Linked DNA regions of Schizosaccharomyces pombe. The protein of the gene in region 2 interacts with the protein of the main gene of each other region in a biochemical or structural test. Each region holds a gene or a part of one and is shown on either strand. Other genes may lie near its edges.

Region 1 (5,271 bases), on a different chromosome or scaffold from region 2:
TTCATAGGAAATTAGAGTCGGAATTGTCCCATTTACCGCCTTATTCCCCTTATCGTGATTCTTATTTCTACCTGGAGGACGATGATGGTGATGCCGATACTCCTTCCACCGCTTCTTTGGACTACTTTAGCAACATCAGTCCTCCGGACTTTTTGAACAAAGCTTAGAACTTTTCATTGGGCAAAGACTCATGTGATTGTTACTCTTTTTTCGACTGTCTGTACTTTACGCATATCTTTATTTTTTTTCTTCTAACAATTTCTTTATTATGTTTAATTTTTTTAAAAAGAGGTTTTCGTTTATACTTGGTACGGCTATACAGTATACTTGTGATGCAAAATTAAACAGACTACTTTTTTTAATGACACTAATACGTTTAATGCGATAAATTCGTACGTTAAAATTCTTTTATTTATTTTATATGTTTGTTTGTGTTGTGTGTTTGAGTTACCATTTGACTCCATCTTTAACCTATAGTTAAATCTGATTTTAAGAAATTTGGTATAAACGAGAATACGTATTTTGTTATTATTTTTGTAAACCGATATTATCATTATTCTAAAACATTAAAAAATAGAAAGGGAAGTAAGGGACATTGGAATGTAAACGAAAGAATTTAAAAACTAGTGAATCAATCCCTGATGTCTTTGGTCTGTTTGTTTCATCTCAGTAATTTTTTGTTTTAGTTTGGCAGCTAAATCAATGGCTTTAGTCCAATCAGGATTGATATTATTGGCCCTTGACGAAAACGGTGATCTTGGTAATTCAGCATGAAACGTGAAATTACCATTTGTTTTCGCAGATGCTAAAGGGGATCTCTGATTCACATCTATAGAGCTATAAAGTTTAGGTCTAGTAGGTTCAAATTCCCTCACTGAACGTTGAAATGAGGGACTCGTAGAGAGCTCTAAAAAGTCAGTATTAGCTCTTCGCATAAATGCAGGTTTTCTGTCTCCTATTGGTGAGGCTTTCCTGGCACTGCGTAAGGTATTTAATTCACCTTTCAATTCACTGAGTTGTTTTTGCATAGAAATATTCTCTTCATGTTCAACTTTCAACTGCTCTCGTAACTCCTCGTTTTCTCTCTTCAGAGATTCTAAAGACGAAATGGTAGAGTCATTGTCTTCTAATACTTTAGGGTGTTCATAACGATCAACTCGTGAATGCTTAGCCGGTTGAGGAGCCGGATCGTCCAACTCCATGTTCTTCAAATTTTGCACCGTTTCGTTAAGTGCTCCCGAATTCAAAGGAGTGGAAGCTTTTACTTTTTGTTGCAAACTGGAAGATGTGCCTCGTGAAAGCCCTCGAGAAACTGGCCTCGTAGTCGGTCTTGGTAACAAAGGACCATTCTCAAATGCATTACCCTTTGATACATCCATGGAAAGCGATTTGTTAGTTGCCTTTCGTGGAGATGGTACAACTGGACTAGAAGGAACAACGGATTTCTTGACAGCCTTAGCATTTGAAGGTACGACGACTTTTGATTCTTCTTGTTTTGAAGGTTTAACTTTCGACTTTTTTGTAGGTGCCTTAGCCTTTACTGTAGCTGTTTCATAAAAAGAACGAATTTTAGATTTCCTGATGTCGTCCAACGGACTTAAATACTGATTAATGGCTCTTTCACCAACGAGTTTCATCAAAACACCCAAGGCTTCTGCTGCCGCACTACGCACCGGCTCAAAGGTATCAGAAACACCAGGAACGCATGCTTTAGCACAGGTATCAACTGTAAACTTAGATGGTAAGGATGTCATATTACTGAAAGATCTCGAGAACAAACTAAAGCAGGAGCTTTTGATTTGAGGATTTTTGTTCCCGGCAAAGCTAGCAATGAGCTCGGCTAAGTCATCCAAACTGGATGTAGCCAAAACAGCATCCATCGCAGAAGATAGTGATTCGATTACATTAGCCTTTTTCTCTTTGGATCGTTCCAACAGTGCATTAATAGATGTTGAGGCATACTTCGAAAAATTTGAGCGTAAACCTTTAGCCATCGCTTGTATACAGTGTGCAGCATTTATAACCACCATGATATTTGCGTCTTTTGAAACAGACTTTGTGAGAATAGCAACTAAATTAAAAAAATCGTTGTCTTTGATCTTTGGTTGAGATAAGACAGGAAGTAGTTTGTCTAACGCTTCCTTACGATCCTTCCATTTCGAAGAAGCCATTAAAGTTTCCAGGTTAGGATCCACATTGGGTAAAACGTCCACTTCTTCTACCAAATCAAATTGATCATCTGACGGTTCTGGTTCACTTTCTTCATTCTCGAGAGCAGGTTGCTCTTCTACCTGTGTTTCAACATTCGGCTCTGATGTAGGTTGCTGACTTTTCAAAAAACGAGTTTGTTTGGGAGGCTCTGTTGGTAGCTCAGCAAAAAGAGACTCAAGCTCTTTCGTCTGAACTGGTCTTAGATCTTTAAATAGTAAATCTTTTAAAGGATCCCCTGTCCACCGATAAATGTTTACAGTTAAACGAGATGCTTCCTTACGAACATTTTTATCAGCATGACCAAACAAGTTGGAGATATGTGGAATAATCATTTTTGAAGGAATAACTTTAGCACCAAACTGCTCAACTAGACTAGCAATGGCAGCGACATTAGAAGCTATTACCTTCGGGGATCGAGCCGATAAAGAAGGAATGATTGATTCTATAACTGGCGCAGCTGAATCTGCTTCAACTAATAGCATAAGAGCTTCTAGTGCATTTTCCCTTGTACCTGCGCGAGGTGATGTTAAGCATTTCTCTGAAATTGAAAGGACTGATATTTCACGAGCTTTAAGTAAATGAGAAGGATCGGAAAACCTGCAATAAGCTACAAACGCTGCGGTACCAGCTTCTTGAGCTGCTACGTTGCTATCAGTCAGCACTGATTTCCACAATTCACTCTGATTATTCCAAAGCTCAAAGCAATTATCCGAACCATCTGCTGAAAGTGAAAACGATTTGCTGCACTCTTCATAAGCAGATAGACGCACTTTCCATACTTTATGTACTATTCTTGATTCTAGAGGAAGTTTGGAGTAGTCTTCTTCTTGATCTTGGCTCATGTTCCTCCGGGGTGCCAAAAATTAAAGGAGCGTATAAGATAAATAAACAGCAAATGCTCTCCCAAAACTCCAATTCTAAAACTCAAAAGTTGTACTTAGTACCTTTTCTCCCTTTTTTGAATAAATAATAAGTAATTACTCGTTAAGCCTGTAGGCAAATACAACACTGTCAAACTTTACAGAATATCGATTTAGCAAGGCCGGAGTATATAAGTATTAACTCGTTGAGTCAACAAATTCAAACCTGAGAAAATATAGCCTTTAATAAAAAGTATCTTTATTAAGACTTAGGTTTGCAAAATAGATGTTTGGAGTTGGTAAGTGTTACTTTTGGACACTACCGAAAATGCAGTCATTCAGTTGAATATAAATTACTTCCTAGCTTGCTCCGTTCTTTCAATAAATGTAAACGAGTAATAGAAAGGGAAAAAAAATAAACTAAATTTCGTAGAAGTAATCAATGTTCTTAGTTAGATTTACAACTTGCATTCTATTACGCTTGAAAATACTTCTTAGTTAAAATCTTGCCTTATCTACCTTTTAAATATAATTTATTTTTAAAAAAAATTTTTATGTGTTGTTTTTTTCTCTAACATGTAAAATTGTGTTTGAGTTAATTGAGAAGACTACTACACCAAAGTTTTTGATACTAATAATTAAAAATACATATTTATATATATATATAACAACTAAAGTAATGAATCAATCTGATGAATGTCTACCATTCAGCACTAATTATGCCAACCTAACAACCCATTAACCTTCCTTTTATTTATCGACAATTATAACAATAAATAATTTATCTAAGCATTTTTAACCACCCCTCAGGTATGTTTAAAACAGGCCAACCCAATCTAACATTACCAATTGTACTTATTTTCAAGTTTATCCCAACGTAACGTTCAAAAGTCGTACACTGGTATCTTCGCCAGCAATTAAAAGAGAATACAACCCCATAGTTTCAAAAGTGGGCTTCCATAAAATTTGGTTAATTGACTCCATAGGAGCCATGTGGTCTGGTAAACGTGTTGGGTACCATTTGGTAAGATTCTCTCTCGGGCATCTCCAAATAAATATTTTACCAGCTTCAGTTCCTACCGCAAGCAAGAGTTCATCGTTGTGAAAGAACGGAGCAAAGTCAACAGCGGTAACAGCATCAGAAAATTGGAGAGCAGCAACATCACATATTTTTTTATTGTCATTGATTTTCCAAAATTTAACCTAAATAGTTAGCAAGATTTGATCAAATAAAAAATTACTCACGAATTTATCACGCGAAGCAGTCGCAAAAAAGTAACCCATTTCTTTGGGAGCCCAACTAGCATCCCAAATAATACGAGAATGCGCTTTTATAGAAGCAAAGTTATTATAATCCAATAAATTTTCGGCTTGCTCATGCAAACACACCAACCGATCCCGCCCAGCACTTAAAATGTATCGGTCATCAGGTGAAAACTTTATAGTTGTAACCGTCAAAGAATGACCTTTAAGGACTTGCTGCTGATTCCATGACTGCGTTTCGTATAACCGAATGACAGCATGTTCGGGGGTTTGTGATTTACAAGAAGTCGCGGCAATATTACCATTATTAGATATGGCGCATGCATAAACCTCATAACCATGGCCGAATAATTTTTCAACTTCCGGAAACAATAGCAAACGCTGTAAGTGTTCTTCAAAAGGAGGATGGTTCAAAGAACCAATCACATCAGCAACAGGAGTCTGAACTTCTTCTGCATTTACCGTACCAGTTTCAGATGCAGTGGTAGCTTTATTAGAAAGACCTAGTAAAGGAACATTTGCAGCATCAGGTAAGCTTTCCTCCCCAATATTGGTATCGCATAAACGGTAAAGAAGTCTAACAATTGTTTTAGGGAATTTAAAAACACGAGACACCTTTTCATCGGCACAGCTCAAAAATCCAATTCGAGAAGGCATACAGGATATAGAGGTTAAGTCATAGCCATGGATCTGAGGTCGAGCCATTTCATGCCAAGCATTATCCTTTTTAAAACGTGCAAACAATCTAGTAGTTTGATCTGTGCCGGCGGATAAATAGAATTTACCTTCAGGATCCCAAGCAACGCCTTTCACTGACTTTGTGTGACCAGAAATAGATGGAAGTTGGAGCCATTGCCCAGCATCTTGCTTCCAGAGTCTCCATCCACCAGTTCTTCCCCAGCATACTACACAATTACCATTTGGGTTCCACAAACCT
Region 2 (4,533 bases):
AAAGATGTATAAGTTTTTCGATGTTTTTCTAGAACTGATTGCCAGTTTGATCTATCGGTAGGAAGGAACTCAAGCATCAACATCCAAGCTTTTGCCCTAAGTGAATATTCATCAGGAATTCCTTGAATACAAAGCGAGCATAAACCAGGGAGAGAAATTGGCTCTTCCGAATTTAAAATGTCTTTAAATTTTTCAATGCGTTGCTTATAGTCCATAATAAACTAGAAGCGATTCAAATAAGATATTATGTAGTTTGACTATATCCAATTTAGTTATATTATCATATATAAAATATTACTGTTGAAAATTAAATATATGAAGAAAAGGAGAGCGCAATTGGTGTGTTCAGTAGCCTGTTTCACACGTGGATGATGGAACTAAGTTAGCTACTAAAATTGAATGCAAGTTTAAGAACCGACTAAATTTTCTGACTTATTTTTTATACTAATTTCCTTCTTAACAATACTTCCCTAATCAAATACTGTAGGAAAGTACAGAGTAATGAACGTCCTTAGTAGATGTACAGTATAGGTAAGATTGATGTAGGTGCAACATACAGACCAGGAAAGAAATATTTGGTTTAAACAGCACCTAGAACGAGCAATTAATAATAATTGGATATTTATTAAATAAATGCACCGTTTTCTAATGTATGTATGTGAGAAATTAGCCTTGAGATTGGCTCCAGTTTTGATTCTATCTATAATACAAATAAAAGAAGAAAGAGTGGATATGCAATTTATATTAGGTTGTATATCGAACTGTTATGATGTATAAATATACGAAAATTGGTAGATAATGTATAACCATAAAAGAAGGCTTAATTAATGGAAATCAAAAGAATTCGGGTTGTATTCATGAAACTGGGGTCATCAATATGAAACTAAATTAATCATGAGAATACAGAAGTGGTTTGGATAAAGGAAACGGCATCAATACATTAGCAATACTCTATCAAAAAAAAAAAAAAAATTATGGAGATTGTTTTTATCAAAAATGAAAGCGCAGATCATGATTTTTGCTCCAAATTCAGTTGATCCATTGCAATTACCAAGTCCTCGCTCATTTGTATCAACTGTTGTCGTTCCTCCCTTTCGACCCGGAGCTCTTCTTGAAGCGCTTGCAGTTGTAAACGAAGTGTTTCCAAATCACCTGTCTGTTGTGATTGTTGTTGCATTAGTAACTTATCACTCTTCGCCATATCAGCTTTAAAATTGTTCAAAAAATCTGACATATCTTGGCGCTCTTGAATGGCTTTCTCCAGCTGTTTTTGGAGAGTCTGATTGTCTGCTTTCAATGCTCGCCTTTCTTCCTCCCAGTTACTGTTGGATATTTTTGGAGCATTAGGAGCAGTACCGATTTGATTTTGAAGCTCCTGTATAGTTGCCTCGTATTTTCGAGCATAATTGGCTTTGAAAGCATTAATTTTCTGAGTGTGCTTGGCTGAGTACTGAGCATGTAAATCTTCAGCAACTTTTTCCATGCGTTCTTGAATTAACTTGTCAACTTCCTCTTGAGTATATTTACCTCTCTGAAGAGCTAATGTCTCTTCATTATGCCCTTCAACAAGTCTCATGTTGGTATCCTTTGTGGAGGGACTAGTCGATGCTTTTCCAGATCTAAGTTGCTGAAGTTGGTCATTAACGGCAATCAATTGTCCCGAAACATTGACGATTGTATTTTGGAGTACGGAAATTTCATGATAAGTGCCAGCAAGTTTGGCTTTGTAGCCCTCTATTTCAGCTTCGTATTTCGCTTGCTGCTTTTGAGTGGAATTAATTGGGTATTGAGTAGGTATATCGGCCTGTGAAGTTGATGGTGTAGCAGAGTTGCGAATGTTGTCTTTCAAATGCACTGGTGGGTTCAACGGCGCCGTATTAGTTTGACGTGGGAAGCTTCCGTTTGAAAGCACTGGGGGCCTAGAACTAGCTGATGTTTGCAAAGATGATGAATGACTGTATGCAAAATTAGATGGAGCGGTATTTAAAGAGCCTCGTTGGGAGGCCGCATTGGACGATGAAAATAAAGAAGGATTCTTCGGCGTCAAAATAGATTCTACATTTCTTTTTCTATGCTTAAATTCTGGCGTTTTATGCTGTGACAAAGGATGGGATATGGGATGCATCGGTCTAGGGGTTCCTGAAAAATCAAAAGATTTATTCAACTCTAAGGCTTGTAGTCGATCGCTTACTCGCTTATTAAGAGTATCCTTTAAATTCAGCTGTGGATTGGGTTTAGAAGTTAACTTAGGGAATAATTTAGGGGCAGGCATGGATTCCTCTGAACTTCGTTGAGCTGGAGGAATCAATGATTCTGAAGAGGCACCTTGCCTTTTTTCATGAAAACCCGTATGATCAGTTTCATTTGTCCCAATACTAGATGAGGAGGGAGACCTCCTACTGTAATCTGTAGAGCTCGAAACGATATCACTCATTTTCGGTTATGACTTTTTAAAATCGTCAAACGATATAAAGAACTAACAGATATATGAAATATAAATACACAAGAAAATCCTTTTTCAAATATTTTACAGCTGGTATTATCGTTTCAAAGTTAACGATCAGTAGCTAACTTTTATTTTTACTTTTTGAAAACTGGTCAGATGTCCGCCTACGTAGAACAATGGTTCAATAACAAACTTGAGTCATACAATGCCCAATAAATAACCCCTTATTGCCCTCAATTCTTCGTCTTGATTCAACACTAGGCGTACAATGGTGGTGTAAATAAAAGGCACATACATACTGGTTTACACTGAGTAAGGAGAGAGTGGGAAGAGTTCACCGAGCTCTCGGTGAATTTTCGGTAGCTTGTTCTCCGAAGCCTTTGTAATAACACCAAAGTATCCTACTGTAAACACTAAACAATTTGCAAGTCAACCTTTGATATTATGTGTGCCAAATTTTAGTATGAAGAAAAATGAAAAGGCAAACGTATGTATATGAAAAGAGGGAAATCGTGATTATCTAATGAATGGCAGATATCGGCCTCATACAATGACCTAATTGCAACAATTTGCAATCCTCGTATCTCTGATGTCGGTACATATCGCATTGAGAGTGTTGTCGGTGAAGGTACGATACTTTTGTGTTATTGTGAACGCTCAATACTGGACGGCTATCTAACAAGCATGGGTTGTAGGCAGCTTTGGAAAAGTTTATTTGGCAGCTCATTTACTGACAAATACAAAGGTATGGGTTATTCAAAGATTACTATGTCTCTAAGTTATAAAAAGAAGAATAAACGGCTCGTAAATTGCGAATATTGACCGTTCCAAAGTCGGTTGATTACATTATGAGAATGATAAACGTTTTATTCATCAATAAATTGATTGTACCTTGCTAACATTTTTATTAAAGGTTGTCCTGAAATCATCTTGCAGGAAACAAGCGATTATCCTTGCTCGAGAAATTCATCATCATCGGCGTCTTCTTCATCCAAACATCACGAGGCTTTATGAAGTAGTATGCACCGAAGACCGAATTTATCTTGCCATGGAGTATTGTCCAAATGGTGAATTGTATGACTGGGTAGCGAGAGAAAAAAGGCTGGATGAAAAGACCACTTGCCGTATCATGTGGCAGCTATGCTGTGCTATTCAGTATTTACATAGACAAGGCTGTGTTCACCGTGACCTTAAACTCGAAAATATTTTTCTAGATAAAGCCTACAATGTTAAGCTTGGAGACTTTGGGTTTTCTAGAGATTCTGATTGTTCCCGTAGAACATTTATGAACACACGTTGTGGTACAGTTGCTTATTGTGCTCCGGAGCTAGTACAGGGCCATAAATATATTGGTGAATGCGTTGATATATGGTCTCTGGGTATAATTATGTACGCTCTCTTAATAGGAAGGCTCCCGTTCGACGAGGACGATGTATCTTTAACTGAGCAAAAAATTATCAATGAATGTCCTCAATATCCTGAAACACTCTCCAAAAACTCTTCAAGCTTGTTGAAATCCCTCCTTTGCAAGGATTACCGACTTCGACCCTCTATCGATCAAATCATCTCTCACCCCTATTTCAAGGAAAATGGATATCATTCATCTTCTATTCGAGACCCAAGGCCTTCCTCGAAAGCAGAGGAAAAAGTTCGTAAAAGGCTTGAATTTGTTGGTGTTGACATGGATCAACTTAATGCCAGCATCTCACAACAGCGCTGTGACATGTTCTATGGATGGTGGCTTTTATTACTAGAAAAAGAAATGCGTAAGGAAAACAAAAAAAAGAAAGGTTTGTTTCATTTACATAAAGGTTCATCTTCGGCTGTACACATAGCTCCAGCAACTCCATCATTAAAAACCGCTCAAGTTTCTGTTATGTCCAACAATCAGGATTCTTTAAAAAGTCGGCATACATCGTCAGATTCAAGTAATTCTTTGCTTTCTACATTTCGTAGTTGGTTATTCGATCCTAAACAAAAGCATACTGCTGATACGTTAAGCTCATCAGCAATTAGACCAAGAACACCTAGTCCTTCGGCTGAAAACTATTTAACTCAAGAAAATTTTGATTCCGATAATTTATCTG
Region 3 (4,361 bases), on a different chromosome or scaffold from region 2:
ATTTAATTGGTTACCTTTTTCTATGATTAAAGCATGGAAAGTAAAATGTGCATGCGCAGTTTAATGGAAATGCTCTTCCCTCCATGTATTTGCTCCCTTTTCATTCCTCTCAAGCCTCCAAACAAATTTGTCCTGCGTTTCATCTTTAGACGTTATATTTCCAATATGTCTCGTTTCATTCTGTCCAATTACACTTTGCCAGGTTCAATCGTTAGTATGTATCCATGCATCTAGTGGTTTCTCCTGCGCTGTTTAGTTTTACTTCTTGTTTATACGATTTATTAATTTTGAATTTTTCCAAACGCTCTAGGTATAGACTTAAGCTGTAAATGATGCTCGCTTAGCGTTCAATATAGTGTGAAATACAAATATTCATATCACTTTCATCTTGTAAAATTTAATAAACACGTATGTCTGTTGAACAATAAGCACATTTACGTTCTTTTACCGTTTGCTCGTAAAATTAATTCACCTCTTTGATACTAAATACATCTAAGTAAGTGCAGTTTATATGTTCAGAGCAAACACGAACACTAAAAACTAAAGTCTAAAGAATATACACCTTTTTTAATACTTAAGTATAAAAAATATGTAAATAGAATATAGTATAAATGAGGATTAAAAAACTGGAAAACAAAGGATAAGAGTAAGTAAGAAAAAGGGAGATTAAAAGGCTTCAGTTTTATCAGGAATGAAAGAAAAATAGATTTAAACACTCAGAGCCTGCTTTTGTAAAAAGAACGGCGATAATTCCCTTGACAGTCAAAGAAAGCATTTAAAGTGATATTTACAATAAAGACACAGTAAAGGGAACAGAACTAAAAACGTTACTAAATTCACATTTAATGGCAAGCTCAATATGTCAGTGTTTTTTATATGCCCTGTAAATTGCCCATTGTTTGAGTATGTTTTGAACAAACGCCAAGATTCGAAAAAGAAGGAGGAAAATAAATATTTTCGGTTTATAAATTGAGGTAATTTGTTAATAACTGATATCAAGAAACACAGCAAAGTACAGATAAAGTCAAGGATAGCGTTTTTAAAGGTTTAATAATAAGAGACGAAAATTAATGAAAATCACGAAGATAATTTTGTTGCAAAGCTCGTTTTGCACTAATGCGATGGGCAGGGTCATAAACAAGCATAGCCTTGACAAAATGGTTAGTAATTAGTCTTAAATAGATGGTAATGCAAAATCTTACAGAGAGTAATTCAATAGCGTCCTCTTCACCATTGGGAACAACTTTATGCAAATCCATGCGTTTCCAACGAGGAAATGTGGATTTGTAATCTTGCAAAAGCGTGACTCCAGGCCATACTTCTTCGTTTGGGGTACCTAAAACTTGAAAAATTTTAAAAATTTCGTCGATCTCAGAGTCACCGGGAAATAATGGACTTCGTCGAATCATTTCAGCAAAAATACATCCAACGCTCCAAATATCAACCCCAGTGGAATAATGTCTTGATCCCAACAATACTTCAGGAGCACGATACCATAAAGTGACAATCTAAACGGTTAGCGACACAAATTAATGCTGAAAGACCGTCAGTCAATATTCCAAATTTTTTGGGAATAAAGTCATACAGCCAAGTAAGAAAAAAAATATACCTCATGCGTATAGTTCCGCAAAGGGACACCAAATGACCTCGCAAGTCCAAAATCTGCTAGCTTCAAATTGCCTTCTTTGTCTATCAACAAATTTTGTGGTTTTAAATCGCGATGAATGATTCTTCTAGAATGGCAAAAATTTACACCGTTCACTAGCTGGTAGGTAAACTTTTGAACAAGTCTCGGATCTAAACTAGTGGCCCCAGTTTCTGAAATTCGGTCCATGTATTTTTTCAAATCCATGTCTAAAAACTCAAAAACAAGATACAACTTTGATTCAGCATGTAAAATATCCAAAAGTCTTAAAAAAGGGTTAGAAACAAAGTTTTATCAATGTAAACATTTCCCATGCATCCGTCAAGTAAAAACTTACCGAACACAATTTGATCGATTATTCTCATCATTCACTTCTTTAAGAAGCGAAATTTCACGAATAGCTGTGCTAGGAACTCCCTCAGATTCATCTTCAAGGCGAATTTTTTTCATGGCCACAATACGCCCTGACAATTTATGTCTTGCTTTATAAACAACGCCATAGGTTCCTAGCATTAGTCAGTATACGTGACAGAAAAGAAATTGGATAAGTCATAGCTTCCTCAGTTACACCTACCTTCCCCAATTTTTTCGACTTTTTGATAATTCTCCATTGCAAACCACTAAAAGAAGCAACCTAGCGGTATGTTTTTTGGAAAATAATTTTTCTAATATCTGTTAATAGAGATGCGAGAATGATCTCAAAATACGTTTATACAAATTTGCTTATGTTGTGTTGTGCTGTGGGTAAGCTTGCTCAACTAGCGATAGACTAGTGGAAACGCAGAGGACTATTATCAAACCGAACTTAGGGCTAGCGCTTCATGTTTCTAACTTATGAATTATACTGTTATCAAAAATGAAATTAGAAAAGTAGGACATAACTCATTACTTGCAATTTATACTAGGTGATCAGATATGAAGAACTACATAATCAAAACATCATCTGAAGACATTGTATAACCGTGAATTAAAAAATTGTAAATGTGAATATCAGTCAAAAAAGTGCTATTATTAAATAAATAAATTTACGGTAGGTTGGATTATCCTGAGTTGTCTAATATTTATAGACTAACCCTTTAAGATAAATGTGAAATTGTAAAAACTGTCAAAGACTTCTCCACCTGCTCGCAAAGAAAACAAAACATTTTTTTTTATTTAAAAGAAAAATAAATAAATAAATATCACACTTATAAAAACAAGCAGAATCCGTGTGTATGTCAGAAGTTACAGAGTCATAAAAAAAATCCAGATAGATAAAAAGCATTGCGAAGGAGAAAAGGTAAAAAAAAGTTAATATAAATAATAACTATTACTAGGGAACAGCATTGAATAAGTCAATATTCATTTACGACGAAGACTTTCGAGTTAACCACACTAATGAACTATCCCCGTGTACACACAGGTGTAAAATGAATGATCTTATATTTCTGCAGTAAAATATGTATTAATCGTTCATCTAATGTAATTTTTCTTGCGAGAAACACTTGTCAATAATGCAGTTGAACTCAATAACATAATCGATGCATGAAATTCCCTTAAAAGAAATCATTGCCAAAGTCATTACCTCCATAATCATCAAAATTGTTGTAGTTATTATCATCTACATAAACAACTTCTTCAGGACGATCAAAAGCTTCGTCCATTTCATGCATAGCCAAACCACCGACAAGAAGTCCGCCCAAACCAGTCACCATGGGATTAGACAAGACTCCGCTACGACCTCTTCTTGCAGAAGTAGCAGGCTGGGCATATACGGGTTGTGCGTAGGCAGGCTGGGCTGGGTAATAATTTGGTTGATTGGGATAATAATATGGTTGTTGAGGATAACCGCCCTGAGGGGGATAAGGCTGTGGAGCGGCCCCGTATGCTCTGTTTTGGGAAGCTGCGGGAGCAGGAGCAGGAGCAGCAGAAGAAGCAGAAGCGGCAGGAGTGGCAGGAGCGGCTGAGTTGGAATAAGAAGGAGGCGGTCCACTTGGGGGAGCAGAGTGGTCCACCGAAGGAGGTGGTGGAATAGTTAAACCACGGACCGGACATTCCCATTGCGGCTTTGCTTTGGGATCACTTTCATTAACATAAAAGTAACACTTGTAGCGTTCATCCCACTGAGCGACCCAGCCATTAGGGAGACCTTCACGAGTTTGATAAGCCATAATGGAATTTAAGAAATATGTTGAGTATAAATTGAGAGAAAAGTTTGGAATGAAGGGAATATCTTAAAAAATAATTTTTTTGGTAAAAAAGACAGTTAACAAAAAATAAATGAATTCTAATACTTCTATCTGCTCTGTACGCAAGAAGTAATGGTAACAACAAATGGAAAGAGAAAGAATACTTCTAGATAGTTGGCCTTTTGCAAATGAAAAAGCAATTGATCAAATAAATGAAATTCCGCGTATGATGGTGAGATAATTATAGTGGTTAAGATCGATAAGAAGGTTGGAGAAGTTTGATGCTAGCAGCAGTCATGGAGCTATTCGTGGTGAAAGGTGCCACTAGTATGCTTAATTTCTTAAACTAATATTCAGCTATACAGTGATTCTTATAGGCAGTTTTTTTTTAAATTTGTTATCTATTACATTACATTATAACGAAACTACTTGAGCAATGTAAGTAATCAATATTCATATAGCGATACTTAGCTGTTTCTACAAATCTACAGATATTATACAGGTAATTGAAAGTCTCAAAGAAGTGAAGAAGCGGATAAGTTCATCAC

What was found. Proteins that work in one complex are often made in the same cells at the same time.
Region 1: the proteins of alp7 (region 2) and alp14 form a complex in vitro, tested with the Schizosaccharomyces pombe proteins (2 studies listed by BioGRID).
Region 3: of the proteins of alp7 (region 2) and cdc2, one has a biochemical effect on the other in vitro, tested with the Schizosaccharomyces pombe proteins (one study listed by BioGRID).

Annotation. Positions count from the first base shown.
Region 1 is NC_003421.2:1,009,544-1,014,814, reverse strand, and holds alp14 (microtubule polymerase alp14), read right to left. Parts: upstream 3,373-5,271; 5' UTR 3,054-3,372; coding exon 624-3,053; 3' UTR 501-623; downstream 1-500. Other genes in the region: SPOM_SPCC895.08C (uncharacterized protein), read left to right, coding at 1-167; elongator complex subunit Elp2, read right to left, coding at 3,939-4,274, 4,317-5,271. UniProt on the Schizosaccharomyces pombe protein: Required for bipolar spindle formation and proper chromosome segregation. Has a role in connecting the kinetochores and the plus end of pole to chromosome microtubules. Also required for the activation of the spindle checkpoint pathway.
Region 2 is NC_003424.3:5,001,762-5,006,294, forward strand, and holds alp7 (kinetochore-associated protein Alp7), read right to left. Parts: upstream 2,725-4,533; 5' UTR 2,435-2,724; coding exon 1,010-2,434; 3' UTR 639-1,009; downstream 1-638. Other genes in the region: tbc13 (GTPase-activating protein), read right to left, coding at 1-215; serine/threonine protein kinase Ppk16, read left to right, coding at 2,910-2,933, 2,981-3,074, 3,142-3,191, 3,360-4,533. UniProt on the Schizosaccharomyces pombe protein: Required for bipolar spindle formation and proper chromosome segregation. Has an indirect role in connecting the kinetochores and the plus end of pole to chromosome microtubules by targeting alp14 to the spindle pole body.
Region 3 is NC_003423.3:1,498,235-1,502,595, reverse strand, and holds cdc2 (cyclin-dependent protein kinase Cdk1/Cdc2), read right to left. Parts: upstream 2,389-4,361; 5' UTR 2,353-2,388; exon of another isoform or gene 2,311-2,352; 5' UTR 2,257-2,310; coding exon 2,220-2,256; exon of another isoform or gene 2,152-2,219; coding exon 1,983-2,151; exon of another isoform or gene 1,911-1,982; coding exon 1,610-1,910; intron 1,509-1,609; coding exon 1,203-1,508; intron 1,149-1,202; coding exon 1,068-1,148; 3' UTR 501-1,067; downstream 1-500. Other genes in the region: protein wwm1, read right to left, coding at 3,181-3,795.